Canis lupus familiaris: one gene and its partners. The protein of the gene in region 3 interacts with the protein of the main gene of each other region in a biochemical or structural test. Links are inferred from orthologs where the notes say so. Each region holds a gene or a part of one and is shown on either strand. Other genes may lie near its edges.

Region 1 (5,015 bases), on a different chromosome or scaffold from region 3:
GCTTTATTAACTTTGTTAGTTTAGCAGAAAGTGCAATGCACTGGAATCATCATTCTGGTTCATTTAGATCAAAGAATGTATACTGCTTATATACACATAGCTTTGTCAGCCGTAGAAACATATGCTGAGGTAAACAACCTCTGAAAATAAAATTTAAGGAAATGAATATAAAGTAAACTCCAAAACACAAAAACAAAAGTTATAAAACCCATTTAAATATTCCACTGCACTCTCATAGCACAAATGTTCATCTTATTCAGAGCACTGTACCACATACTGAAGGGCTTTGACATAAAACCTCCTAAAGAACTTTGTTCTCTTTTGATCTCATTAGCATGAATTCCCCTGGACCATGGTGATGAAGAATTTGCAGAGAGACCCCCAGGATTCCCCACAGTAGTCCAGGGCTATCTTTGACTGCTTTATTAAGTCCGGATCTTCCTCACACTTGGGGTCTTTGGTGGCTATGGTCTGGGTCTCCACTGAGCCAGAAGGGATGTTCTCTTTGACCTTTATCTGCTCCTTAGGGAATAACTCTTTGACCTTGTTAGGTTCCACCAGGGAGGCCTTACTGACTTTGCTCTGCTCCCTGGGAGAGGGCTCTGTTAATTCCTGGCTGGGTTTCTTGGTCCAAATCAGAGTGGAGTTCACCAGCTTGAGATTAGACTCTGGAAACTTCTTTCTGCACACCTTGGTTTTCAGGATGGTTTTGGCATCCCCACAGATGACCTTTTGAGAACGCAGGTTCCGGCCAATTTGTTTCCAATAGACATTCTTTTTGTTTGACTCTAGGCAGAAAGTTGGATTGCCAGTAAAGACACAGGAAAACTTGTTATCCTGTCGAGTACACTCAACCTTCAGGGCGATACCCTCTTCTTGCTCAGTCACCACCCATCTGCAGTTGGCATGGTCTCGAGTGACAAATTTGCCTTTGGTCAGTTGCTTGTGTGGCTCAGTATGGGTCTCTCCCAGAGCACGCAATTTATCTCTGGTGCCTTTGCTGACATGTCTATTTTTTACTTCCTTTTTGCCCTTTACCAATGATACCTGAACAGCCAGAAGAAGGAAGGAGAGCAGGGTGAGGCTATGGATCCTCATGTCTTCAGCTTGGTGGGAACCTGTTTGACAAGAGCAGGTGAGTCAGTGCTGGGCAATAGTTCAGCAATACAGTGCTGCAGGATGACCCTCCCTATACCCTGACACATGCCTCCTTGCTTAGAAGTGAGATCAAGAATTCTTCTGGTTCCTGGAATTACTAGACTAGCGGCCTATCTATTCACATTTCTGCTTGACTTGAGTCCTGAATGTCAAAAACCTCCTACTCTTTCTCCATTCCTTCACCACTCTCTGAGCCAAATAAAGTCTCATCCCTCATTTACTACTCCTTTACCCCTGCATTCACTCACTCACTCACTCACTCACTCACTCACTCCTTCATTTACTCATTAAACAAGCATTTATGGAGCATCTGCTATATACCATGCCTCAGACTAGATGTTGGCTTTATTAATGTGAATGAGTAGGTCACATCTTAAAGAGATTAGAAGCAAATTTTTGAACAATATAAATAGCATTGACAAGGAGTCTGTCCCAATCCTGTCCCCAACTTGATCTTGGCCAAGTCACTTTCCCCTCTGGTCTCAGTTCCTCTGGATACTGAGGTTTTAGGTGTGATCATTCCCAAAGTCTCCTCTGGCTCCATGTGATAGATTTCTAACCTAGTTCTACATGGACTCAGGTGACCACACAACAAGAATGGACATGGCAAATGACATGAAGGATGACGTTTGATCCGACATTCAACATGTGTGGGATTTGGACACTCTGACATAGATGGGTTTGTGAGGGGGGCATTTAGGGTGCAATAAAAGCATAAGGAAAGGCATGAAGGAGGGGAGGTCATACCATTTGACTACGCAAAGTGAACCAGCCTGGATGGGGTGAATTTTTACCACAACATTTAGATTAGGAAGTTGAAGGGAAGGATGATACCTAAATGATTTCTGGAGCCCTGGGTGGCACAGTGCTGGGCATATAGAAAGCACTCAACCAATGCTTTTAAAAATAAATCACTGCATGGGTGCCTCGGTGGCTCAGTCCATTAAGCATCTGCCTTTGGCTCAGGTCATGGTCTTGGGATCCTGGATCCAGCCCCCATCAGGCTCTCTGCTCAGTGGAGAGTCTGCTTCTCCTTCTGGCTCTGCTACTCCCCACCGCTTGTGCGCGCTCTCTCTCTCTCTCTCATGCATACATGCTCTCTCTCTCTCTCAAATAAACAAATAAAATCTTAAAAAAAAAAAAAAAAAAAGCTGTGCTTGGTAAGTAAAAATAAATCACCCCAGGTAACAGATGTGAAAATTCAGGCTCATACTGTAAATAAATTGCTCAATATCCCTTATTGGGCAAGTGACAAACCTGGGAAAGGAGCCAGAACTTATCTCTTTGATCTTTTATACCACCAACCACCAAGTTTGCTCACTTATTGCGTTTCAGCTTTACTCTGTCCTTTGGAAAATACTGACAACAAATAAAGTTACAAACTACTCAGGGTTTCATTTGGTATAATTCATGATAAGATGATTCATACTGTCAGTGCCCCACTTAAAAAGAAAATATAGATTTTGCTTGTATATGGGGCAGGCCCAGAAAATGGTCCAGGTCTTATTTCCACCTTGGGCTTGTGGCCTCTCCTCAGAATTGAGAAAGAGAGACAGTCACAGGTATGTGGGCTCCTGAATGAAGCATGGACAGGTGCCTAGGCATGCCATGTGAAGACCCACTTTTTCATCAGGGCATTGAGACTCAGCCCCCATGTGTCCCTGATAAGATCCATAACCCAGGATCCTGAGGTCCTCAGGGAAGTGAAAAGAAAGGTGGGGACTGAAACTCTTAAAAGAGCCAGACTCTTACCTTGTTCTGAGTATGCAGATCCAGTGTAATCCCAGATGTGAGAGTGAGCTTGCAGGCTTACAGCTGTCTCATCTGCCGTGCCAGGCAGGGAAGGCTCTTTTTATTGAAGACCGACAGGATTTTACAACACACACACACACACACACACACCTGTCTATCTTTATCACACTCCTCCCAGCCACGCCCCTTGGGAGGGAGCCAGTTCCTGCAGGGAAAGTGGTTGGTGTAATGGTGTAATCCTGTGGGAGGGAGGTACTGCAGGACATTAGACCTGCTTCCTCCAAGACCTTCCCTTTCCCCCAGGGGCCGGGATAGGCGAGCAGTTCAGCCTTGCAAAGTCCCTCCTAATGGGATGAGGACTGTGGCAGCAAAATCCGTGGAGAATTATAAACAATAACAAAACTATCATAGCTGCCAAGCCCTAGTGTTGCCCATTTTACCTAACGTGGTCCTTGAATTCCCATAATATCCACCCCATGATATGGTAACAAGGATTCCTATTATTTTACAGATGGAAAATTGGAGCGTATTGATATTCAGGGCTTGTCCAAGGTCACAGAGATGGTAGGATGAGAAGCCCAGAATTGAGCACTGGGACTCCCCACATGCACTGTCTGATCTTTCCCACTGTCTCAAGAAAATGTTTGTGAATGATTGACTGAAACTGGAAAAGCCATCCCAGTTTCTAAGTCCGTTTTCACAGAAGCACCTGAAATTACCATAGGGGCAAAGGAATCTATGGTTTTGAAAGGCTGGTTAAAAGTGGTCTGGGGATTTCTGCTGTAAATATTCACTTTCAGGTCACACAGACAGACTTCCCTTTGGTCAGTGTTCTATAGGGAGAGTCTTACACTAGAATGATCTATGTGGAATCCTGGAGATAGTATTCTTTTGGCTGTGTGACCTTCTCCAACCAGTTAACCTCTCTGAACCTCCATTTGTTCATCTATAGATTGCTGACAATAGCAGTACTTTATTTTGGGCTCACATTAAATATTTTATGGGGCTAAGCTATTCACATAAAATGAAGCAGAACAGATTTGGCTCAAACTGGGGTTTCAAGGTGTATTTGTTAAAAACAGACATACTTAGTTTTCACAAACATATTGAAGGAGACTCATTTCACAAAGATGTGGATCTCACTACATTTTGTCACCTCACCTTTCATGATTTTTGGACTCAAGAAATCATTCATTTTCTATTTAACTCAGGTTTGAAGAAACAATAACACCAGAGTGATAGTAAATGCCAACTGACCCTTGTCTTTGGGGGTCAGGGACAAAAGGAATGATGGGGATTGTGGCAAACTGGGTAGTCCTGATATCTAAGTGTCAACATCCAGCATTGATTGACTGAGAGAATGTTGGCATAGGGGTCAGTATTTTCAGAACTCATGAACTCTTTTCACATATACATTAGTAAAAATAAATGTGGAGACTTCATGTACTTTTAAAAAAATAGATTAACATCCAGATGTGTGGATATGAAATTGGGTTGGTATCTAATAGAGATTTTCTAAAAACAGTGTCCTGGCTCACAATAAAGATGCAAAAGTCCTAACTATGGTTGGCTTTCATCCAAGAGCTACCTATTTGGGAATTTCAAGGTCACAGAGGTATGGATATTGATCAATTCACTCAGTGGTTTAAAGAGTTTCTTCATGAATTGTATTGGAGGTGGCTATTTCCCCCTCGTCCCCATTGTCCTGAACACCTTATTGAACCATGACCTGATGTTTTAGTGGATGATTATCTGGACATAGGCAAAATAAAACCGCTTTGTTTCCCAGAAAGCAATAGACCATAGTGATCTTCTGCAAAATGAGAAATTCATCTTGACCCTTAAGAGGCAGTCGGGTTCTTTCTGGAAGAATACTGTAGGTTAGAACATAAGGCATATTTATAAAGAAAACGTGGACCCCAGGATCTTTTCTGAGAATTATCTCTAAATTTTGCCAGGGAACATGGAACTTCCTCCTCTAGCTTTGCATGGACATTTAGTCTTCTGTGATCTCATCCCAACTTCTGCCTTGCTTGTTCTATTCCAAGCAAGGGTAAAATATTAGACCAAGCTGTATAGTTCTTTCCCTGTTGGCTCAGCTTGTC
Region 2 (5,158 bases), on a different chromosome or scaffold from region 3:
AGAGATGAGAAAAAGAATTGTTTTTTTTTTTTTTAATCTAAACGAGGGCTAGCTATTCACTTTATAACAAACTAAAGATTTATTATAAAATAGCTCTGGCATGCAGGCGTCCAGAGCATTTAAAGACCAACCGGTGAGTGAATATACAGACCTTGGAGGCACCCAGCGTCCGTGCAGAGCGTGTTCAACTACGCTAAATGCCTGCAAGTGACTGGGGGGCTACGCTCGGCCCTAAAAAAAACCAAATAGCTGTGGACCTAGAAATAGTCAAAGAAATATTGAGTTTCAAAAAATCGTATCAAAGCACCTACAATACTAAAGCACAAATTGGTCCCGTCACGTTTTTGGTATTCTCTTTTTCACTGAAGAATTTGAATTTTTGAAGATTTTTAAGATTCATTCTTAATGAGACAATCTTTCTTCAAATGAAATCAGTACTTTCTTTTTTTTTTTTTTTCTGTGTTAATTAAGTGAAACAAAGATCACGGAGCAAAAGATCACCATATGCATAACCATTTGAGATATTATTCTCTGTAAAGTCCCAGTAAAGGAGTGTTCAAGAGGGGGCCTACTGCAGTCTAATTAACTGATTTCCTGTTTAAATAAACCCAGGCAGGCAGGATTGCATTCCAAAGCATTCCTTGATGGCCTCTCAGAGACTCAGCCTCCCCTGCAGGCTGCACTGGCTGTGTGAGTTACTGGAGTGGAATTTCGTGTTCACAGGTTTTTTTGTGGCTTTTTTTTTTTTTTTTTTTTTTTGGTGGGGACCAGTGATTGAAGCTCTTGATATCTCTTTAAAATGTCAGAAACTCTCTCATGAAATGGCTTTTAACTAATAGGTTTTTCTGATTATATTATCAAAGACCAAACAAAATTAAAACCAGGTTCTTAGGAGGCCGACAACAGAATAATTAGGAATCCCCGAGGAACCAAGCTGGCAGGAAACCAAGAGAGGGGAAATAAAACCATGTGGGTAGAAGTACTATTGGATGGAATAAGGAATTAGCATTCTAGAATTCAGAAATACATCCCTGTCTGCTCTAACCAGTGTACAGAGGTGAGTGAAAACTGGCGTTAATTCTTCAGTTTGGGGAGGGGGGGTGCATCATAGGTACAATCACTTTAATATGCTTTGCCAAAGACAAGAAATGTCACCCACTAGAATAGCCACAGAATTATGTTTTGTCTCCTTGTCACTTACACTGAGGAGCTAATCGTGTATTTGGTTTTATGCTTTTCCAGTCTCCGAAACTGTACTGAATAGTCCAGAAAATCTGCTCAGCATTGATAAAGTCCTCCAATACTTAGGAACGACTGACACCCTGCTATGGTTTCTGCAACTTTAAATGAAACATGCTCCCCCACATGCTTACCATTAGGATCCTTGCCCCCCAACAGCTGAGCTGCTTTATGGCCACTCTAAGGAGGGCGGCGCTGCTTGTAAGTCATCCTCCTCTGTTCCCGACGTTCTCAGGCACAGGAAAGCTGTTGTTTTCATACCTAAGTCCCTGATTTTCCCATATGGCCCAACAAAGGATTCCTGCGCCGCTATCTCTTAGAGATTTTGGCCTCCACAAAGGAGTGTTCTTTGGCTCCAAATCTCCTTTCTTTGACCCACCTTTCAAACGTGTTATTTCGGGCCCACATGTGTTTTTTGGAGATCCCTGTAGGATGGCAGGGGAGGAGGGGGGGCGACTTCAAGAAGTCCTATCTGGTTTGAACCGCCTCTCTCCTGTTTGCACCCCCATCCCTGCAAGTCCCTGGGGAGAGGAGGGTTCCCAGTGTGCTCCCGCAGCAGCCCATCTCACTGCGCATGTAGGGCTCCCCCGAACCTCCGGGACTTGAGGGGCCCCCTCGGGGCTGGTCAATCCCACAGGCCCCTTTTGGGGGGAGGCAATCCCGCTAAGCCCTTCAGGGGTCAGGTTCAGTCTCAAGCCTCAGGCTCAGAACCCGCACGCAGGGAGGAGGCAGGGGAGGGGGGGGCGGCCCAGGAAAGGTTCCCTAAAACGCAGGCTGGGCCCCGAAATAGCGCGGGGACCAGAGCCCCCCGAAACCTGGAGGGAGTGGAGAGCCCCGACGGAGCGGCCCCGGGCTCCGCCTTCTGCAGCGCGTTTTGGCGCCGCGCGGGGCGTGCGCAGGTGCGCGCAGGTGCTCGCAGGTGAGCGCAGGTGCGCGCAGGTGCCCCCCGCCCCCCGGGCCGCGCGCTCCCCGTGCTCACCTGCCGGCAGCCAGCGCCCGGCCGCCCAGCCCCGCACGGCGCGGAGGTCGGCCCGCGTGCGCCGCAGCTCCTCCAGCACCGCGCCCAGGGCGCGCCCCGGCTCCGGGCCCTCGGTCGGCGGCGCGCACGGCGTCCCCAGGCGGCCCAGCTCGGCGCGCAGCGAGCGCAGCTCTGCCCGGAGCACGGCGTCGGCGGCCTGCAGCATTGTGCCCTCCCGCGCGCGCCAGTCCTCCAGCATGATGAACAGCTTGTCCCAGCGGCTGAGCTCCGGGCGGCAGGCGCACGGCGGGGCTGCGGCGGGGACACGCGCGTCACCGCCCGCCGGTCCTCGCAGCCGTCCTCGTGGGCCTCGTGGGACCCGCGGAGCCCTGGGGCGCGGCCCAGGTGACCCCGAGCCCCCCCGACCCCGGGCTCCTGCTGCGACCCCCCCGACCTCCCCAGCAGCCCGTCCTCGTGGGGACCCGGCGGGAGCCTTTGGGGTGCGCGGCCGAGGTGACCCCGAGCCCCCCCGGCCCCCGGGCTCCTGCTGCGACACCTCCCCCGACCTCCCCAGCAGCTCGTCCTCGTGGGGACCCGGCGGGAGCCTTTGGGGTGCGCGGCCGAGGTGACCCCGAGGCTCCCCAGGGCTCCTGCTGCGAGCTCCGCCGCCCCCCGACCTCCCCAGCAGCCCGTCCTCGTGGGCCCCGCGGAGCCCTGGGGCGCGGCCGAGGTGACCCCGAGCCCCCCCCGACTTACGGTCCTCCGTGGGCTGCAGGCCGTGGTCGATCTCGTTGTCCAGGTCCACGTACATGAGCTCGTAGTCCCCCGGGCCCTCCGGCGACAGCGCGGAGCAGAGCGCGCACAGCAGCACCGCGGGGAGACGCATCGCCGCCGCCGGGGGACGCGAGGGGAGGGAGCGGGCGGGCACCGGGCACCGGGCGGACACCGGCGGACACCGGCGGCCGGCCCCGCGCCCCTAATAAGCGCCGGCAGCGCCTGCGGGGAGCCGGGGGTCAGCGCCGTCCCGGGGCCCCCCCGAAGCGGGGCGGGGGCGGGCGGGGGCGCGGGGGCGGGCGACCCGGGCCGGCACGTTGCACAAGAGCAGCCCGCCGGGGGCTATGCTGCAGCCAGATTAGCGGGAGGAGGGTCAGAGGGGAAAGAGGTGGGGAAACTGGGCCGGGACCGTCCCCACGAGGGCTGGAGGGGGGCGGGGAGCAGGCCTGGCCGTGCCCCCTCTGCGCCCCGCTCCCGCGCCGCAGCCCTTGGGGGAGCCTCGCCCCTTCCCGCGCGCGGCCTCCCGGGGCGGAGCGGGGCTGCTGCGAGCTGATGCCCAGGGGGACCGGCGTGCGCGGGAGGATGCGGGTGCTGGGGGCGGGCCCGGGCCCAGCCCCAGCCCAGCCCCAGCCCCAGCCCCAGCCCAGCCCCAGCATCTGGGTCCCCCTGCAGGCGCGAGCCCGCTCGCAGGCTCCCCGCAGGGAGGGGCTCACCCACCCGCAAACCTCGAGGAGGACGGCACCGGGGGAGAGGGAAGCGCTGACTTTAGGAACGTTGCTCTTCCTGAGCTGCTGTGAGGTGGAAATTGTATCATCCCACTGGAGATCACGCTCCTAAAGTAAGTTTAGGAGGAACCTCCACGCAGGTTTCCAGAGTGACTGCACCAGGTCACATTCCCACCAACAGTGCAGGAGTAAAAATAAGTAAATAAATAAATTAATTAATAAACAAATAAATAAATATAAATAAATAATATAAATAAATTTAAATAAATAAATAATAAAATAAGTTTAGGGATTCCTGCTTCCTTCGAAATGTGAAGGCCCAAATAAGCTGAAAACTCTCCTGCACAAAACACCTAGGAATGCATTTACATTATGATGACTTTTAAAAATTTTTTTTGCAATAATTAAATAGGGTTTTACTTTATTTATTTTGTTTGTTCCTTTTTAAATAATTTTACTTGTGTTCAATTTGTCAACGTACAGAATAACACCCAGTGCTCATCTCAAGTGCCGACTTTTTAATTTTTAAAGATTTTATTTATTTATTTATTTATACATGAGAGAGACGACAGAGACAGGCGGAGGGAGAAGCAGGCTCCATGCAGGCAGCCCGATACAGGACTCGATCCTCCGACCCGGGGTCACGCCCTGGGCCAAAGCCAGATGCTCAACCGCTGAGCCACCCAGTGATCCCACTATAATGAAAACTTTAAATGTACAGATGAGCTACAGATAATGTAAGGGAAACCTCCAGGAGCCAAAGAAAGAGGTGTGGGGGGTGGGGATCCAAGACCAACCCTGTAAGCCTGAGAGCTGATGCTAGCCACCCCACCTCCCAAATAAAGGGAGGTAGGGGTCATAGTTTTGTAGCAATCCAGTGCTAAAACAGTGCCCTCGGGAAGATCTCCCATTCCTGAGTCAAGAAATAGGTATAAAAATTACAGCATCCTACAGCACTATTGGTAAAAGCTAAGCATCATCATCATCATCATCATCATCATGTCTTTCAACCATAGAGTGTATGAATAAATTGTTGCCTGCTTACACGATAGAATGCCATACAACTGTGAGAGTAAGCGATGGAGAGCTTCCTGGAGCTAAAACTTCAACACAGTGCTGAATGTAAAAAAAAATTAAATATTGCAAAGACATTTGCATAGTATGAATACCACTGACAAAAAATTTTAAAGCCTGCAAAACAACACTATAAAATGTTTGTTGGTCTATACACGTGCAACTGAAATGTAAAAAAACATTCATGAAGATGATAAACACCGACTTTAGGATGGTGGTTGCCCTAGGGGAGAAAAAGGAAATGAGTGGGATAGGAAGTGATTCTGGCACCAAGTGGCTTTGGAGGGCACGACCTTATTCTTTATTGCCTACTTTTGCCTAATGGCTTCAAATATTCCATAATTTAAAAAATATTAGTTCATACATGGAATTTATAGGATTTCTCTTT
Region 3 (4,502 bases):
AGTACTAGGGGAAGTCTCAACATGAACCTAATCTGGAGGAGAGTTCTTCTGTCTTCTAATCATAGAACATACCTTTTTTATTTTTATTATTCCTTTTTTTAAAAGATTTTATTTATTTACTCATGAGACACACAGAGAGAAAGAGGCAGAGACACAGGCAGAGAGAGAAGCAGACTCCATGCAGGGAGCACTGGGACTTGATCCCAGAACCCCAGGATCCCACCCTGGGCTGAAGACAGTCGCTCAAGCGCTGAGCCACCCAGGCATCTCTATTTATTTTTAATTACAGACCATTTGTGCTACTAGAAAAGAACAATACTATTTGGGACATATAGGCACCTGGCCCTAATCTGCTGTGCTAACCTAGCAGCCAACTGCAAAATAAACTTCAAACACCAAGTTTAAAACTTAGGTTTGTGAAACCTATTCAAGTTACTAAAATAGAGAAACAGTACTAACACATATTTATTGGGTTACAAGCATCTTTTCAGTTTTACTGGATAATGTGGGTGCTTAATAAAATCCAAAAATTATGGCATGCCTGAAAAAAAATTAAAGACCTGTATCATTTGCTTGTTGCTATTTTGGAATCAATAAATACTCCAGCAATATAAAAGCACATTTCCCATTCGTTTGTCAACTCAGGTTGCTTGAGCTCAGGTCAACTCAGGTGGCCTCTACCTATGGCTCCGCAGGTGTGAATGACAGACATTCCATGAGCAACTTTTGATAAAGAGGTAACTGCTGTGGAGTGGAGCTCTGGACTCCTGCTGGTCTTTTGTCAGGCAAACAGAGGATTGGATTCTTCACCTGAAAAACCACTAAGGAAGGCCAGACACACAGCTTTTAAAACGGATGTTTTACGCTCTCTCACAGGATGACAGTTAAAATATACTGATCCTCTTTCCCTCATTTCAAATTCCATCAGTGCTGTTAATCAGTCCATTTCATGCCCCTTTCCTCCTCTTTTCTATACATCACTGGGTCTCAAAGTGTTGTCCCAGGTCAGCATCACCTGGGAACTATTAGAAATGCAAATCATCAGGCTTCACTCCAGCCTTCAGGAATCAGAAACTCTGGGAGACAAGGTTGGGCAATGGCTATAACCCCCACCCCCCAAGTGATTCTAACGTACCCCTCAAGTTTGAGAACCAATGACTGTAGGCTAGTGTTACTTCTATACCACAAATGGATTGTTTTTTACTGAACACAAAAGTGTACAGTAGTAAACCGAGTCCTCTGCGCACTTGGGAGAAATTCTCATCTGATCCTCAAACCTGATGCAAGGTAGACATTATCCCCACTTTAAGAATGAAGAACCTGGCTCAAGGTCCCGAAACTAATAACTGCAGGTGGAAGATTAAAGTTTTTGCAGTTCTTGTCACTATTAAAAGAAAAGTGTGTCACACTTTATTAACAAAGTCTATATCTTTTTTTTTTTTTTCAAAGTCTTATCTTTTGCCCTGAAAGCTTTCGGTAATTGGGAAAAAGGGGGAGGGGGGGGGGAGAGAGGAGAGGCTGTCCAGGAAGGGTTCCATCAATGGTGAGCACCAGCCTCAATGCAGAAGCGCTCCAGTATCTCCAAGGATACATTCAGGCGGCCAGTGTGACACTGCTTTGAACAGCACTTTCCAGATTGGCTAAGCCCACGATGGTTTCTGAGGAAATCACATAGATATCTGAGCATTAAAGCATTAAAGCAAGTTTTCCTTTTGAACTTGTCACAAATTCCATCTTGTAAAGAATATTAAATGTTGCTTTAAGCTTTTCCTTGGAAGGGAAGGGAAGGGAAGGGAAGGGAAGGGAAGGGAAAAGGTAAGGGAAGGAAAAGGAAGGGAAGGAAAGAAGTGAAAGGCACTGACACTGTCAGACGTCCATTCATTCCCACGACCCCATCCCTCCACTTCCGTTCCGTTCTGTCCGTCATCGCCGTCCTTCCTCCGGCCTCACTCCGTCCTTCCTTTCCCCCCCACTCTCCTTTTCCTTTTCCCTCCCCCTCCCTCCCTTTCCTCTGTCCCTCCCTCCCTCCCTCCCTCCCTCACTCCCTCCCTCCCTCCTCCTCCTCCCTCCCTCCCTCCCTCCCTCCCTCCCCTTTCCTTCCCCTCTCCCCTCCCCTTTTCCTGCCCCCCCCCCCTACGAAAATGCGATCCCTAAAAACACGACAAAGGACTGAAGAGAAAAGGGACGAGATGGGTGAGAGCAGTGTGCCAGCTGGCTCGGATCCTACCAAATCGGAGTTTAAGGGCACGACTCTGGGAAGGTATTTTTCCAATAAAGAGCATTTATTCCGCTTGGGTCCCTCCTGCTTGGGCTCCCGGGCCCGGGGCGCGCAGGGCGAGCCCGCCCACCTCCCCGCTCACCTCCCCGCCCACCTCCCCGCCGCTGGGCATCCCCGCGGCAACAGGTGGTCCGCGCGGGGGGGGGGGGGGGCGGCGAGGCCCGGGTCTACCCGGGGACCTGGCACAGCCCGGAGCCTGGGGAAGCGCCTAACCCGACGCCGCAGCTCCGGCGAGGAGGGGGCGAGCGGTGAACCCGAAACCGCGAGGGCCGCGCGGAAAGGAACCACACGTCCCGCTGCGGTCGGAGGGAAGGGAAGGAAGCGGCGGGAATGGGGCGGCGGGGGGACCGCAGGGAGCGCGGGGAAGGGCGGGCCGGCACTCACCGTGGGGATCGCTCTTCTCCCGGACCCCGTCCACCCGGCCGTCGGGGTGGATCCGCAGGAAGAAGCCCCCGTTTTTGCAGTACAGCCTCTTGGGGTCCTTGAAGTGGCCGGGCGGGAAGGCGCCGCTGCCGCCGTCCTCCGGCAGGGCGGGCAGCGTGGTGATGCTCCCGGCTGCCATGGCGCCCCCGGGGCTCTGCCGGGGTGTCCGCGCCCCCGGAGCCGCGCGAGGAGCCGCCGCCGCCCCCCGGCCCCGGCCCCCGACCCGGTCCGGGGCGCGGCCACGGCCCCGGCCCCCCAGCCTCCCGCCCGGCAGCGCGCGGCCGCGCCCGCGGGCCCCCAGCCTCGCGCCGCCCGGCCGCTCCCCTCGCCGGCTGCCCTGGGGAGCTGCGCGCGGGCCGGGATGCTGCGCTCGGGCTCGGGCTCGGGCTCGGGGAGCTGCGCCCGGGGCCGGGGAGCTGAGCACGGTCTCGAGGCCGGGGAGCTGCGCTCGGGCTCGGGGAGCTGCGCTCGGGGCCGGGGCCGGGGCCGGGCGTGTCCGCGGCCGCCGCTCGCGGGAGGGCCGCCTCCCCTAGCGCAGCGCCGGCACCAGCAGCCAGCCCCGGGCACCGCGTCGGCCGTCTGGCAGCGGCCGGGCCGCGGCGTCACATCTTCTACATCCCCACCCCCGAAGGCCCCCCGCCCCCCCGCGCCCCCGCTCTCCTCCCTTCCTGCGCGCCGCCCCCTCCTCGCTCCGGGCTCCGTGGGGCCGGCCTCTGGGTCGGGAGCCGCGGCCGCAGCACGCAAGCGCGCGACAGGAGGGGTGGGGGGGGCGAGCGCAGGGGGCGGGGAGGTGCGGAGGGCGAGCGGGGGGGCGGCCGCGGAGGCCGCCGCGGCTCTGGGACTCGACCCCGCGAAATTCCCCCGAGGTCGCGCCAGCCGGGGCGCACGGGGTCCGTCTCCGCGCTGCGGAGCTTTGGCTGTGCCACCCGCCGTGACTCTACTTTGAAACGTTTAAAGGCAACTTTCTCCCCCCCCCTTCTTTTTCCTTGTCAGCGATTCAAAGCCAAGAAACGATTTCCACTCCCCCCCCCCCGAAGTAAAGGAATCGGAAATGGGGGGGGGGTGATTCTGTGCCCCGTGTGGGTTTTGAACACCTCTGATCTCCAGAAGGGGCCTGCGTGGGGCGCACACCGGTAAACTTGAAGGCGAGGCTGAAATCTTTGACTAACAAAAGGAAAGAAAGAGGCCAGAGGAGGGGAGCAGACCGCATTGCTGGGAGTAAAAGGTTTTCCTTCTACCACCCTGGCTTGAAGTAGACGACGTGGAAAGACGAGGAGAGGCCTCAACCCCTTCTGTGATGGAAGGGTGCTGCTGTCTTACTCCGAAGCTGGCACTAGCCTTGGCGAAATGGCTAGGTGTTCCTAGGAGGGAGGGTAGTTTTCTGAGAATCCCAAACTACAAAATTGAAGTTAATTGGATTTGGGTAATTTTCAGTAGAATAGAACAAGTACTACGGATTAGTCAAATATTCATCCAGAAAGTTTCTTAGTCTCAAGTGTCTACTATATGCAAAGCATTTGCCTAAGTTCAGTGGGAGGTGCTGGATCCCACAGGACCTCCGGACAGAGGTGCGATCCATGGGCAGGATGAACACCACAAAATGCCCCTAGAAGAGTAAAATGAGGTGGTGGTGTAAGATGTCAGACAAGGGGTAATTCAGTTTTGGGGGTACAATGGGATTAGAGAAAGCCTCTAGGAATATGTGAGAATACCTCTATTTAGAAAGATGTTTGGTTTCAAAAGATCAGCGCATCAAAAGTATCTGCTCTAAGTCTCCATGAGAGGTTTAATGCATGTAGAG

Evidence for each region.
Region 1: the proteins of FGF2 (region 3) and FGFBP1 form a complex in vitro, tested with the Homo sapiens proteins (2 studies listed by BioGRID and IntAct, with this or other methods). The link is inferred for Canis lupus familiaris from reciprocal best matches to the Homo sapiens genes FGF2 and FGFBP1.
Region 2: the proteins of FGF2 (region 3) and PTX3 form a complex in vitro, tested with the Homo sapiens proteins (3 studies listed by BioGRID and IntAct, with this or other methods). The link is inferred for Canis lupus familiaris from reciprocal best matches to the Homo sapiens genes FGF2 and PTX3.

Annotation. Positions count from the first base shown.
Region 1 is NC_049224.1:64,977,809-64,982,823, reverse strand, and holds the start of FGFBP1 (fibroblast growth factor-binding protein 1), read right to left. Parts: upstream 3,063-5,015; 5' UTR 2,911-3,062; intron 1,119-2,910; 5' UTR 1,099-1,118; coding exon 331-1,098; 3' UTR 1-330.
Region 2 is NC_049244.1:51,505,596-51,510,753, reverse strand, and holds the start of PTX3 (pentraxin-related protein PTX3), read right to left. Parts: upstream 3,171-5,158; 5' UTR 3,084-3,170; coding exon 2,954-3,083; intron 2,510-2,953; coding exon 2,219-2,509; intron 1-2,218.
Region 3 is NC_049240.1:18,279,643-18,284,144, forward strand, and holds part of FGF2 (fibroblast growth factor 2), read right to left. Parts: intron 3,231-4,502; coding exon 2,663-3,230; intron 1-2,662. UniProt on the Homo sapiens protein: Acts as a ligand for FGFR1, FGFR2, FGFR3 and FGFR4. Also acts as an integrin ligand which is required for FGF2 signaling. Binds to integrin ITGAV:ITGB3.